3 linked regions of the Anolis sagrei genome follow. The protein of the gene in region 2 purifies or fractionates together with the protein of the main gene of each other region. This does not show direct contact. Links are inferred from orthologs where the notes say so. Each region holds a gene or a part of one and is shown on either strand. Other genes may lie near its edges.

The links.
Region 1: the proteins of LRRK2 (region 2) and PRDX3 purify together in Homo sapiens (co-immunoprecipitation; 3 studies listed by BioGRID and IntAct, with this or other methods). This does not show direct contact. The link is inferred for Anolis sagrei from reciprocal best matches to the Homo sapiens genes LRRK2 and PRDX3.
Region 3: the proteins of LRRK2 (region 2) and ACTG1 purify together in Homo sapiens (affinity purification with mass spectrometry; 3 studies listed by BioGRID and IntAct, with this or other methods). This does not show direct contact. The link is inferred for Anolis sagrei from reciprocal best matches to the Homo sapiens genes LRRK2 and ACTG1.

Annotation. Positions count from the first base shown.
Region 1 is NC_090023.1:202,461,137-202,464,884, forward strand, and holds the start of PRDX3 (thioredoxin-dependent peroxide reductase, mitochondrial), read left to right. Parts: upstream 1-808; 5' UTR 809-864; coding exon 865-909; intron 910-3,748. UniProt on the Homo sapiens protein: Thiol-specific peroxidase that catalyzes the reduction of hydrogen peroxide and organic hydroperoxides to water and alcohols, respectively. Plays a role in cell protection against oxidative stress by detoxifying peroxides.
Region 2 is NC_090025.1:82,029,524-82,033,271, forward strand, and holds the start of LRRK2 (leucine-rich repeat serine/threonine-protein kinase 2), read left to right. Parts: upstream 1-1,221; 5' UTR 1,222-1,385; coding exon 1,386-1,557; intron 1,558-2,602; coding exon 2,603-2,688; intron 2,689-3,748. UniProt on the Homo sapiens protein: Serine/threonine-protein kinase which phosphorylates a broad range of proteins involved in multiple processes such as neuronal plasticity, innate immunity, autophagy, and vesicle trafficking.
Region 3 is NC_090022.1:131,820,182-131,823,929, reverse strand, and holds the start of ACTG1 (actin, cytoplasmic 2), read left to right. Parts: upstream 1-1,518; 5' UTR 1,519-1,627; intron 1,628-3,110; exon of another isoform or gene 3,111-3,113; 5' UTR 3,114-3,121; coding exon 3,122-3,244; intron 3,245-3,364; coding exon 3,365-3,604; intron 3,605-3,748. UniProt on the Homo sapiens protein: Actins are highly conserved proteins that are involved in various types of cell motility and are ubiquitously expressed in all eukaryotic cells.

The sequences.
Region 1 (3,748 bases), on a different chromosome or scaffold from region 2:
CGGCAGACAGGGAGTTCTAGAATGGGCTGGTCCATGAGGTCACGAAGAGTTGGAAACGACTGAACAAATGAGCAACAAGAACAAGCTTATTGGAGGGAAGAATAGAAGAGGTCAAGATGAAGTACTTTGGCTACATCATGAGAAGAAAGAAAAGCTTAGAGAAGACAATGATGCTGGGGAAAATGGAAGGAAAAAGGAAGAGGAGCCGACCAAGGGCAAGATGGATGGATGGCATGCTTGAAGTGACTGGATTGACCTTGAAGGAGCTGGGGGTGGTGACGGCCGCCAGGGAGCTCGGGCGTGGGTTGGTCCATGAGGTCACAAAGAGTTGGAAACGACTGAACGAATGAACAACAACAAGCTCATTGGAGGGAGGAATAGAAGAGGCCAAGATGAAGTACTTTGGCCACATCATGAGAAGAAAGGAAAGCTTAGAGAAGACCAAAATGCTGTGGAAAATGGAAGGAAAAAGGAAGAGGGGCCAAGGGCAAGATGGATGGATGGCATGCTTGAAGTGACCTTGAAGGAGCTGGGGGTGGTGACAGCCGACAGGGAGCTCTGGCATGGGCTGGTCCATGAGGTCACGACTGAACGAATGAACAACAACAATACAGCTGAATAAAACCCCACATTATCTGCTTTGAACGGGGATATAGGGCAGTGTGGACTCAGGTAACCCAGTTCAAAGCAGAGATTGTGGAATTTTCTGCCTTGATATTCTGGGTCTATGGCTGTGTGGAAGGGCCCTTTAAGGGAGATGGTCTCAGGCTGCTCTTAAAGAGACAGTAGCCTCTGGGCTACTAAATGTGGTGGCCCCGCCCCTCCGCTTCCACGTGCCCCTTCCTTCTGCCTCCGGAGCTGAACATGGCTGCTGCGGCTGGAGCGCTGCGAAGGGTGCTGAAGCCTTCGGTAAGCGCGAGATCGTCCCAGGAACCCGTGCCTAGATTTCAGCCCCTTGAAGCCAAAGCAAGGAGGGTGCTGCATTCTCCCGTTGCATTTTTGCTCTGAAGAGCATTGCAATGGCTTGAACTTCCTGCCCTTGGAGCAGCCCGGGCCTTCAGCACGCCTTTGGAGGTTAAGCCCCCCCCCCCCCCCCCGTCTTGCAAAGGTGCCACCCAGCCTTGCATCTACACCAGGCATGGGCAAACTTGGCCCCTCCAGGTGTTAGGGACTTCATCTTCCAGAAATCCCAGGCAGCTTACTAGCTGTTAGGAATCGTGGGAGTTGAAGTCCAAAACACCTGGAGGGCCGAAATTTGCCCACTGTAGAATTAATGCAGTTTGGAACTGCCATAGGTCAATGTAGATCAAGGGAGTTGTACTTTAGCCTAAACGACCTCACCAAACTACAACTCCCAGGTTTCATAGCATTGAGAATCATGGGAGCTGTAGTTTGGTGAGTTTCCAAACACTCGGGTAAAGGTAGACATTTCCCCTTGACATTAAGTCCAGTCGTGTCCGACTGGGTGTTGGTGCTCATCTCCATTTCTAAGCCGAAGAGCTGGCGTTGTCTCTAGACACCTCCAAGGTCATGTGGCCAGCATGACTGCATGGAGCGCTGTTACCTTCCCACTGGAGTGGTACCTATTGATCACATTTGTATGCTTTCGAACTGCTAGGTTGGCAGAAGCTGGGGCTGACAGCGGAAGCTCAACCCGGAATCGAACCTGTGACCTCTCAGTCAACAAGCTCAGCAGCTCAATGCTTTAACCCACTGTGCCACTGACTTCACCAAACTACAACTCCCAAGTTTCATAGCATTGAGAATCATGGGAGTTGTAGTTTGGTGAGTTTCTCAACACTCGGGTAAAGGTAGAGGTTTCCCCTTGATATAAAGTCCAGTCGTGCCCAACTCTGGGTGTTGGTGCTCATCTCAATTTCTAGGCCGAAGAACCGGTGTTGTCCATAGACACCTCCAAGGTCATGTGGCCAGCATGACTGCATGGAGCGCTATTACCGTCCTGCTGGAGTGGTAACTATTGATCACATTTGTATGTTTTCGAACTGCTAGGTTGGCAGAAGCTGGTAAGCCTGGGCAATGTATGGCTCTAAATGGTTCTAAAGTACATACAAAACTAAAGTTCTGGTGGTGAAAATTTCAAAACTCTCAAAATTTCATTATAAATGGCAGTTCTTAATTGGTTCTATCATAAAAATCACCAATAATGAAATAATAATTAAAATTTGAAACTTTTGTTAGAGTTCTGAAATTTTCACCACCAGAACTTTAGTTTTGTAAGTACTTTAGAACCATGCATTGCCCAGGCCTAGAAGCTGGGGCTAACAGCGGAAGCTCACCCCGCTCCCCGGATTTGAACCACCGACCTTTTGATCAGCAAGTTCAGCAGCTCAGTGATTTTACCCGCTGTGCCACTGAGTGGTCCTATGGAATCATGGCATTTAGTAGCCCAGATCAAACTTTTGGCAGAAAAGGCTAAAGACCTTATTAAAAGTACAATTTCCATGATCCCATAACATGGAGCCATGGCATTCCAGCTGCATTCATTCTACAGTGCAGATATCATGCGTTGCACTCAAATCCTTAGAGGACAACACTTCTCTGCTTAGGGTCGTATCTAGGTTTTTACAGCACTATTATTCCACCCTAGCTGCCATGGTGACATAGGGTGTGTCTGACACCACTGATATTACAGAATTAATGCAATTTGGTGCCGTTTTAAACTGCCCTGGCTCAATGCCATGGAATAATGGGAGTTATATGTATATTTTGTGAAGTCTTTGGCCTTCTTTGCCAAAGAGTGCTTGTGCCTCACCAAACTACAACTCCCACGATTTCATAGCATTGAGCCATAGCATGAGATCACACTGCATCAATTCTAGTGCTGAGCTGCATTGATTCTACAATGTAGTAGAGGCACACTAAGTGCCATGGCTCTATGCTAAATAATCATAGGGATTGTAGTTTTGAAAGGTCCTTAGCCTTTTCTGCAAAAGAGCTTGGTCCCCTATTAAACTACAGCTCCCATGATTCCATGGTGGTTAAAAAGGCCACTGTGGAGCCACCCATAGTGTGGGATTCTGGGATTTGTAGTTTAAGTAAGGACATTCAGAATTCTCAGCCAGAGGACTACAAACCCCATAATTCCACAGGGTTTTGCCATGGTAGTTAAAGCAGAATAGTAGTGCTACAACTGTGCAGTATGGTAGGACTCTGAAATTGTAAACCTAAGTGCAGGAAACTGTCAAATTAACAATTTGGGAGCTGATCCGAGGGCCCTTTCAGACAGGCCCTATATCCCAGGATCCGATCCCAGGTTGTCTGTTTATCCCAGATTATCTGGTAGTGTGGACTCGTATAATCTATCTTAAAGCAGAAAAACTGGCATCGGATCCTGGGATATAGGGCCTGTCTGGAAGGGTCCTAAGAGTCTTTCCGGTTGAAGGATGGAGTAAGCCTTTCTATCTGAAGGTGGGGTGGGTATAAATGCTCCAGTTAAACTTGCCCTCTGTAAAATGAGTTTCTTTTGCACCTTCACACTGTATTAAACCCTGAAGGAGAGGTAGTTGATGTTTTTCTGCTGGACTTTGGTTTCAGGTTCCCCCAGTGGATACCAAAAATCTGTGGGTGCTCAAGTCCCATAGTAAGTACAGTAGAGTCTTGCTTATCCAACATAAATGGGCCAGCAGAACGTTGGATCAGCGAAAATGTTGGATAGTAAGAAGGGATTAAGGAAAAACCTATTGAACGTCAAATTACGTCATGATTTTACAACTTAAACACCAAAACA
Region 2 (3,748 bases):
ATAGAAGGGTCCTGTGTTGCAAAAGACAGTGTCCACCTCCCTCTACTTTAGGGACTTCTTCATCATATTGTTAAAGGCTTTCATGGCCGGAATCACTGGGTTGTTGTAGGTTTTTCCGGGCTATATGGCCATGTTCTAGAGGCATTTTCTCCTGACGTTTTGCCTGCATGAATGGCAAGCATCCTCAGAGGTAATGAGGTCTGTTGGAACTAGGAAAAAGCAAAACAACAGAAGGGAAACAGTCTGGGACATCTAATCACCTCTCAACAAAAGATTCCCCCCAGGCACTTTCAAGCCATTAAATGCTAATCAAGGTAGTCAGTTGAAACATTCACACTTAGCTCCAGCAGACAAGAGTTCTTTGTCCCACCCTGGTCATTCCACAGATATATAAACCCATTTTCCTAGTTCCAACAGACCTCACTACCTCTGAGGATGCTTGCCATAGATGTAGGCGAAACGTCAGGAGAAAATGCCTCTAGAACATTGCCATATAGCCCGAAAAACCTACAACAACCCAGTGATTCCGGCCATGAAAGCCTTCGACAATACATTATAATCCGGCCCTCCAACAGTTTGAGGGACTGTGACCTGGCCCTCTGCTTAAAAAGTTTGAGGATCCCTGATCTAGATTATCAAAGCAGATAATCCACATTGGACTGGATAATATGGTCTACACTATTTAATCAATTTCAAAGCAGATAATCTGGATTTTATACGGTCGTGTAGAAGGGACCTTTTAGACAGGCCCTATATCCCAGGTTTTCTGTTTTAAACCGGATTATATGAGTCCACACTGCCAGATAATCCGGGATAAACTTGGGATCAAATCCTGGGATATAGAAGGGCCCTGTGTTGCAAAAGACAGTGTCCACCTCCCACTACTTAAGGGACTTCTTCATCTTCCAATCTGTTTTGTTTTTGCCTTTTGCTTTCAAACTCGTGACCATGAAACTGAAACCTTGGGCTGCCCCTTTTCCAAGAGGGAACGGAAAGCCCTGATTTGAGCCACAAATGCGGACTTTCCTTCCCCACCCCTTCCTCCTATACAGACTTCCTTCCCTGGAAGGAGCAAGTGGTGTAATATTCCCATATTGGACGAGAAGGGGGTTACTTTAGTAAGGGAGGAAGTTGCAAAAGAGGGGCTTGTGCGGGATTGGCAAAGGGAGCTGCGCGTCAAAGCCCCCGCGGGGATTTCGTCTCCCTCTAGCGCCACCTCTGGCCGCGGCGCGCATTGCACCCACCAAGCTTGGAAAGGAAAGTCAAGCCAAGCGGGGGGAGAGGCGACTTCCAAACAACCCGCCGCTTCCTCTGCTGACTCAAAAGATTTGTTTACTGGCGGGAGGCGACTCCTGGGCATCTTGGCCCTTAGTGGGAAGGCAGCCATGGCCACTGAGGGGGTGCCAGCCTGCGAGGAAGAGGAGAAGGACGAGGAGAGGCGAGAAGCCGCCTTAAGGAAACTCATCGTCCGCCTGAAGAACGTCCAGGAAGGGAAGCAGATCGAGACCCTGGTGCAGATCCTGCAGGACCTTCTCTCCCTCGCCTCCCTGCCAAGCGGTAAAAAGGGGGCTTCTCTTCCCTCTAGAGCAGTGTTTCTCAACCTGGGGGTCGGGACCCCTGAGGACACAGTATTTTCTGTTGGTCATGAGGGTTCCTTATGGGACTCTGGCCCAAATCTGTTGTTGATGGGGTTTAGAATTTCCTTTGATTGTAGATGAACTATAAATTGTAGCAACTACAACTCCCAAATGTCAAGGTCTATTTTCCCCAAACTCCACCATTTAGGCCTATTGAGTATTCATGCCAAGTTTGGTCCAGATCCATCATTGTTTGGGTCCACAGTGCTCTCTGGGTGTAGGTGAACTACGACTCCCATAATCAAGGTTGATGCACACCAAACCCTTCCAGTATTTTCTGTTGGTCATAGAAGTTCTGTGTGCCAAGATTGGCTCAATTCCATTGTTGGTGGAGTTCAGAATATTCTTTGATTGTAGGTAAACTATAATTCCCAGCAACTACAACTCCCAAATGTCAAGGTCTATTTTCTCCAAATTACACCAGTGTTCACATTTGGGTAAATTGAGTATTTGTGCCAAGTTTGCTCCAGATCCATCATTTTTTAAAAGCCACAGTGCTCTCTGGATATAGGTGAACTACAACTCCTAAACTCAAGGTCAAGGGCCCTCCAAGGCCTTCCAGTATTATCTGTTGATCATGGGAGTTCTGTGTGCTAAGTTTGGTTCAATTCCATCATTGGTGGAGTTCGGAATGCTCTTTGATTGTAGGTGAACTATCAATCCCAGAAACTACAACTCCCAAATGACAAAATCAATTCCTCCAACCCCACCAGTATTCAAATTTGGATGTATCGGGTATGAAAATACATCCTGCATATCAGATATATACATTACAATTCAAAGCAGTAGCAAAATGACAGTTACGAAGTAGCAAAGAAAATAATGTGATGGTTGGGGGTCACCACAACATCAGGAATTGCATTAAGGGGTCACGACATTAGGACGGTTGAGAACCACTGCTCTAGGGAAAGCTGACAAGGGATTCCTCTTTCCTGATCTTTCCCCCCTTCTCTTCTTTCACCCAGGTGGCAGGTTATTCCGTGGCAAAAACATCCACGTGCCTTTGCTCCTGGTTTTGGTCTCCTACATGAAAGTGGCCAGTGTGCAACAGGTAAATATTAGTCTCTCCCTTTGGCTGCTTCTCGCCTGGAACTGCTCTATATCCCAGGATCTGATTCTAGATTATCTGGCAGTGTAGACTCATATAATCCAATTCCAAATTGGATCAGATTCTGGGTCATATGGTAGGGTAGATCCAGCCTCATCCTTCCCTACTTGGATTCTGAAGGATGCTTTCCCTTTGCAGGATCAGAGGGATTTTGGCCTGCATCCATAGGAGTCTAGTGTCTAGATCCAGGGAAGTCATGCTACCTCTCTATTCTGCCTTGGTTAGAACACACCTGGAATATTGAGTCTTAATTCTGGGCACCACAATTGAAGAGAGATAATGACAAGCTAGAATGTGTCCAGAGGAGGGTGACTAAAATGATCAAGGGCCTGCAGAACAAGCCCCATGAGGAGCGGCTTAAAGAGCTGGGCATGTTTAGCCTGAAGAAGAGAAGGAGGAGACATGATAGGCATGTATAAATACGTGAGAGAAAGTCATAGGGAGGAGGGAGCAAGAACAATGGCTTCAAACTACAAGAAAGGAGATTCCATCTGAACATATGGAAGAACTTTCTGACTGTGAGAGCCATTCAGCAGTGGAACTCTCTGCCATGGAGTGTGGTGGAGGCTCCTTCTTTGGAAGCTTTTAAACAGAGGCTGGATGGCCATCTGTCAGGGGTGATTTGAATGCAATATTCCTGCTTCTTGGCAGGGGGTTGGACTGGATGGCCCATGAGGTCTCTTCCAACTCTTTGATTCTATGATTCTAGAGGGATTTTGGCCTGCATTCATAGGAGTCTAGTGTCTAGATCAGGGGGCCTCAAACTATGGCCCAGGGGCCGCATACGGCCCTCCAAGGTCATTTACCCGGCCCTCACTCAGAGTCAACCTAAGTCTGAAACGACTTGAAAGCACACAACAACAACAACTATCCTATTTCATCAGCCAAAAGCAGGCCCACACTTCCTATTGAAATACTAATATGTTTATATTTGTTTTAGTTATTGTAGGGGTCCTCAAACTTTGTAAACCAGATCACATTCCCTCAAACGATTGGAGGGCCG
Region 3 (3,748 bases), on a different chromosome or scaffold from region 2:
TGCAAATTACAGGTACTTCAGGAGAGAGACACCAAGTCTGCCTTATGATGTAGAAAGGCTAGTGCATTGATTCAACATTTCCTAGCAGGGCAGGGCTGTGGCACCCTGACTACAACCGCCATAATCCCTTGCTTCCTCCCATACTGTGTAGGGATTATGGGCACTGAGGTGCAAACCGGAGCCATATGTAAATATTTGCCCTATGTAACAACAAAGTATATCCACACTGTAGAATTAATGTGGTTTGATACCACTCCAAGGCTATGGATTCCTGGGTTCTGTAGTTTTCCAAGGTCTTTCACCTTCTCTGACAAAGAGCACCGGCGCCTCACCAAACGATGACTCCCATTATCCCATAGGATTGAGCCATGGCAGTTGTTGTAGGTTTTTTGGGCTACATGGCCATGTTCCAGAAACATTATCGCCTGCATGTATGGCGGGCATCCCCAGAGATTGTGAGGTCTCCCCCTCAACCACTCAACTTGTAGCCAGGCTTCATGCGTCTTGGCTACAAAATGGTGGCCATAGGGCACAGGCAAGCGACCTCCACCATAGGTGTTCCAGAAGCATTCTCTACTGACGTTTCGCCTGCATGTATGGTGGGAATTCTCAGAGATTGTGAGGTCTCCCGTTCAACTGCTCAACTTGTAGGCAGGCCTCATGCACCTTGGCTACAAAATGGTGGCCGTAGGGCAAAGGCAAGCAACCTCCACAATAGGAGACCTGAGAGTAGCCCTCAGAGGAGTCCACATAAACACACAGCCCAAGCATGTAGCCAGGGGAGGGGGGCGCTTGGGGAGCTTCAGCCCCCCCCCCCCCCCCGAAATTCTCATGGTGGTTCGCGAAAAGGCCTTACTGGTGCATTACTTAAACTGTTCTGTTTATTCATATCATGATCTGATCACCATGCTCAATATATCCCATATGCATGGGGGTATTGGGGTAAGGATACAAAAAGTTTGCTAGGGTAGACCAGACCCTCTTTCACTCAGACTCAGCCCCCCCCCCCCATCAAACTCAGCCCCCCCCCCAAATCAAAATTCTGGCTATGGGCCTGACACAGCCCTAGTCCCCATGTGAGAGTGTAGACATGTTCTCGACTGTATTTTGGGAGTGGGGGAGAGGCCTTCAAAATACTTTAAACAGTTCTTCCTCTGAGCATCAGGCAGGGCACTGTGGACACGCATACAGATACGGAGTGGCCTGTTCTGCTCCCCAGTCGCACAAGGTGGAGGATTCTTCTGGGTGGAAAGTCTTCTAGAGAAGCCACCCTAAGGGCGAGGACTGAGAGAGGGGCTCTGAGCCTGGCCTTGCCCACCCCCTCCTCCAGCTCGCCCTCGTTGCGCGCATCCAGGTTCCGGGGCTTCGGAGGAGGGGGGCGTGGCCGAGCCGCTTTCGCCTGCCCCACGTGGCCCGGCCCGGCCCAGCCAATGGGAGCGCATGTTTCTGAAAGATCTCCATATATGGCGATGTTCTCGGCCGGCCAGGCGGGGGCCGCCGCCCCCCTGGGTATAAAAGGGGCGGGGCTGGCGTTCGCTCGGTCTCACTCAGCCGGCGGCAGCGGATCTAGCACGATCGGCTCCTCTCTCTTGTCTCCTGACCTTTTGAAGCTTCCGCCTCCTTGCAGGTAGGTCACGTCCCCCTCCTCACGCCCCCCCCCCCACACCTTGCCTTTTTCTATTAATATTTTATATGCAGCTGTTACTGGTTTTGTCCAAAACGGATGCGAAAAGTATATACTTTATTTAAAAAATTCTAGATTGGACATGAGTGTGCCTGTAAAGATAGGAAGCGGTTTATGATTTAAAGAGCGTGGGCGTTAAGCCCCTTTCCCGCCGCCTCCTCGTCTCGAGCCGCTAACGGCTTCCGAGGGGCGCCTTGAAAAAGGGAAGGCGGTTTCCTCGCGGCCGGCTTGGCTCGCGCGAACCCCCCCTCCTCGCGAGCCCGCAACGGTTCTCGTGATTGGGCAGGGCCGAGGGCAGCTGGCGCCGGATTGGCCGGGCGAGGGCGCTGACGTCACTGGGCGGGAAAGGAGACCATTGTAAAATCTATTCGAAAAGGGAGGCAGTTCAGGGAGGGAGAGAGGGGGGGCAATGACACTACGGAGTGCATGCAGGTCGGCCCCCATTTTCACTGTAATGGTTCGATGCTGTGGGATCACGGGAGTATGGTTTTTAGTGGCGTTGTCGAGATGCGCGAATTCTGCAGTGTAGTCCACACATTGGCAAGCTTTGGCCCTCCAAGTGTTTCAGACTTCAACTCCTACCATTCCTAACAGCCTCAGGCCCTTTCCTTTCTTTCCTTTTCGCTTAAGCGGCTTAAGGGGGAAAGAAAAGGGCCTGAGGGTGTTAGGAATGGTGGGAGTTGAAGTCTGAAACACCAGGAGGGCCAAAGTTTGCCCATGCCTGGTCTAGACGTCTTGGTTTCAATCCAATCGGAGGGGGGTTGCAGCAAAGGGTGGGGGACGTTTTTAAGAGCCGAGTATTGGTTTTTTGCCCCCATCCTACCCTTTTCCTTCATTTAAATGTTTTCTAGGGGGCTGCTTGCTTAAAGTTCACTGGGCGGGGCTTGGTGGCATTTTGTCTAAAACTGGTCTTTTGTGTCCTGAGTGGATTCAAAGAAATTTCACTCTTGGATATGTGATGGTGTGTCATTCGTTTTTTTCTCCTTTGAGTTCTGGAGATTGGCATGTGTTGTGAGAAATGTGTCTCTTTTTCCTTTTGGTTTTGGCAGGGTGGGCCTTTTGCAGCTAAATTTTCAATAGCTAGGGCCAATAGCATAGCACATCGACAGCCATTTAGGCTTGATTTGTGGGGCTCTTAACTAAGACTAAAAGTTGAGCTACTAATTTTCAAGGTGTATATTGAAGGCAGAGAGAGAGGAGAATGTCTGCTGCCTGCTGATGGTCTGTGGAGGGAGGAAATGAATGAGTCTAGAAAAGCAGCCCAAGAGGGTGGGGTCCTCAGAATGGCTGGCAGGCTGCCAGAGCAGCCCCTAGTGGCCAGATGCTGCAGTGCCTGAGGAGCGAGCGGGGGAGGGAGTAGGGCACTATACCAGAATGTGAGGTGTGTTAAATGTTCCTTAATGATTTTTTCCCTCATTTTTAAAAGCAGATATAAAAATGGAAGAAGAAATTGCAGCACTTGTCATTGACAATGGATCTGGTATGTGCAAAGCAGGCTTCGCTGGAGATGATGCTCCTCGTGCTGTGTTCCCCTCAATTGTTGGGCGCCCTCGCCACCAGGTAAATAGCCGAGCAAGCAAGCTAGCTGATGAAGGGTTTTGTCTGTGTGGTTGAAGTTATAGGCTGTTTAACGCCTAAAAGCACAAGCTGAGCTTTTTTCTTTGCCTCCTCTTTCTATAGGGTGTCATGGTTGGTATGGGCCAGAAAGATAGCTATGTAGGAGATGAGGCTCAAAGTAAGAGAGGTATCCTGACCCTGAAGTACCCTATTGAACATGGCATTGTCACCAACTGGGATGACATGGAGAAAATCTGGCATCATACTTTCTACAACGAGCTCCGTGTTGCTCCAGAGGAACACCCTGTGCTGCTTACAGAAGCTCCATTGAATCCCAAAGCCAACAGAGAGAAGATGACACAGGTATGGTGTTGGCACTGCTGATTTTCTGTATGTTCACCCATTTCACCCACCCATTTTTCTTTCCAGTTACAGTGTCTCTTCTCTTACTTTTAGGGCTCTGTGCTGTCCTGGCATTTCCTTCTTGAAGTCTCAGGTTTCTGTTGT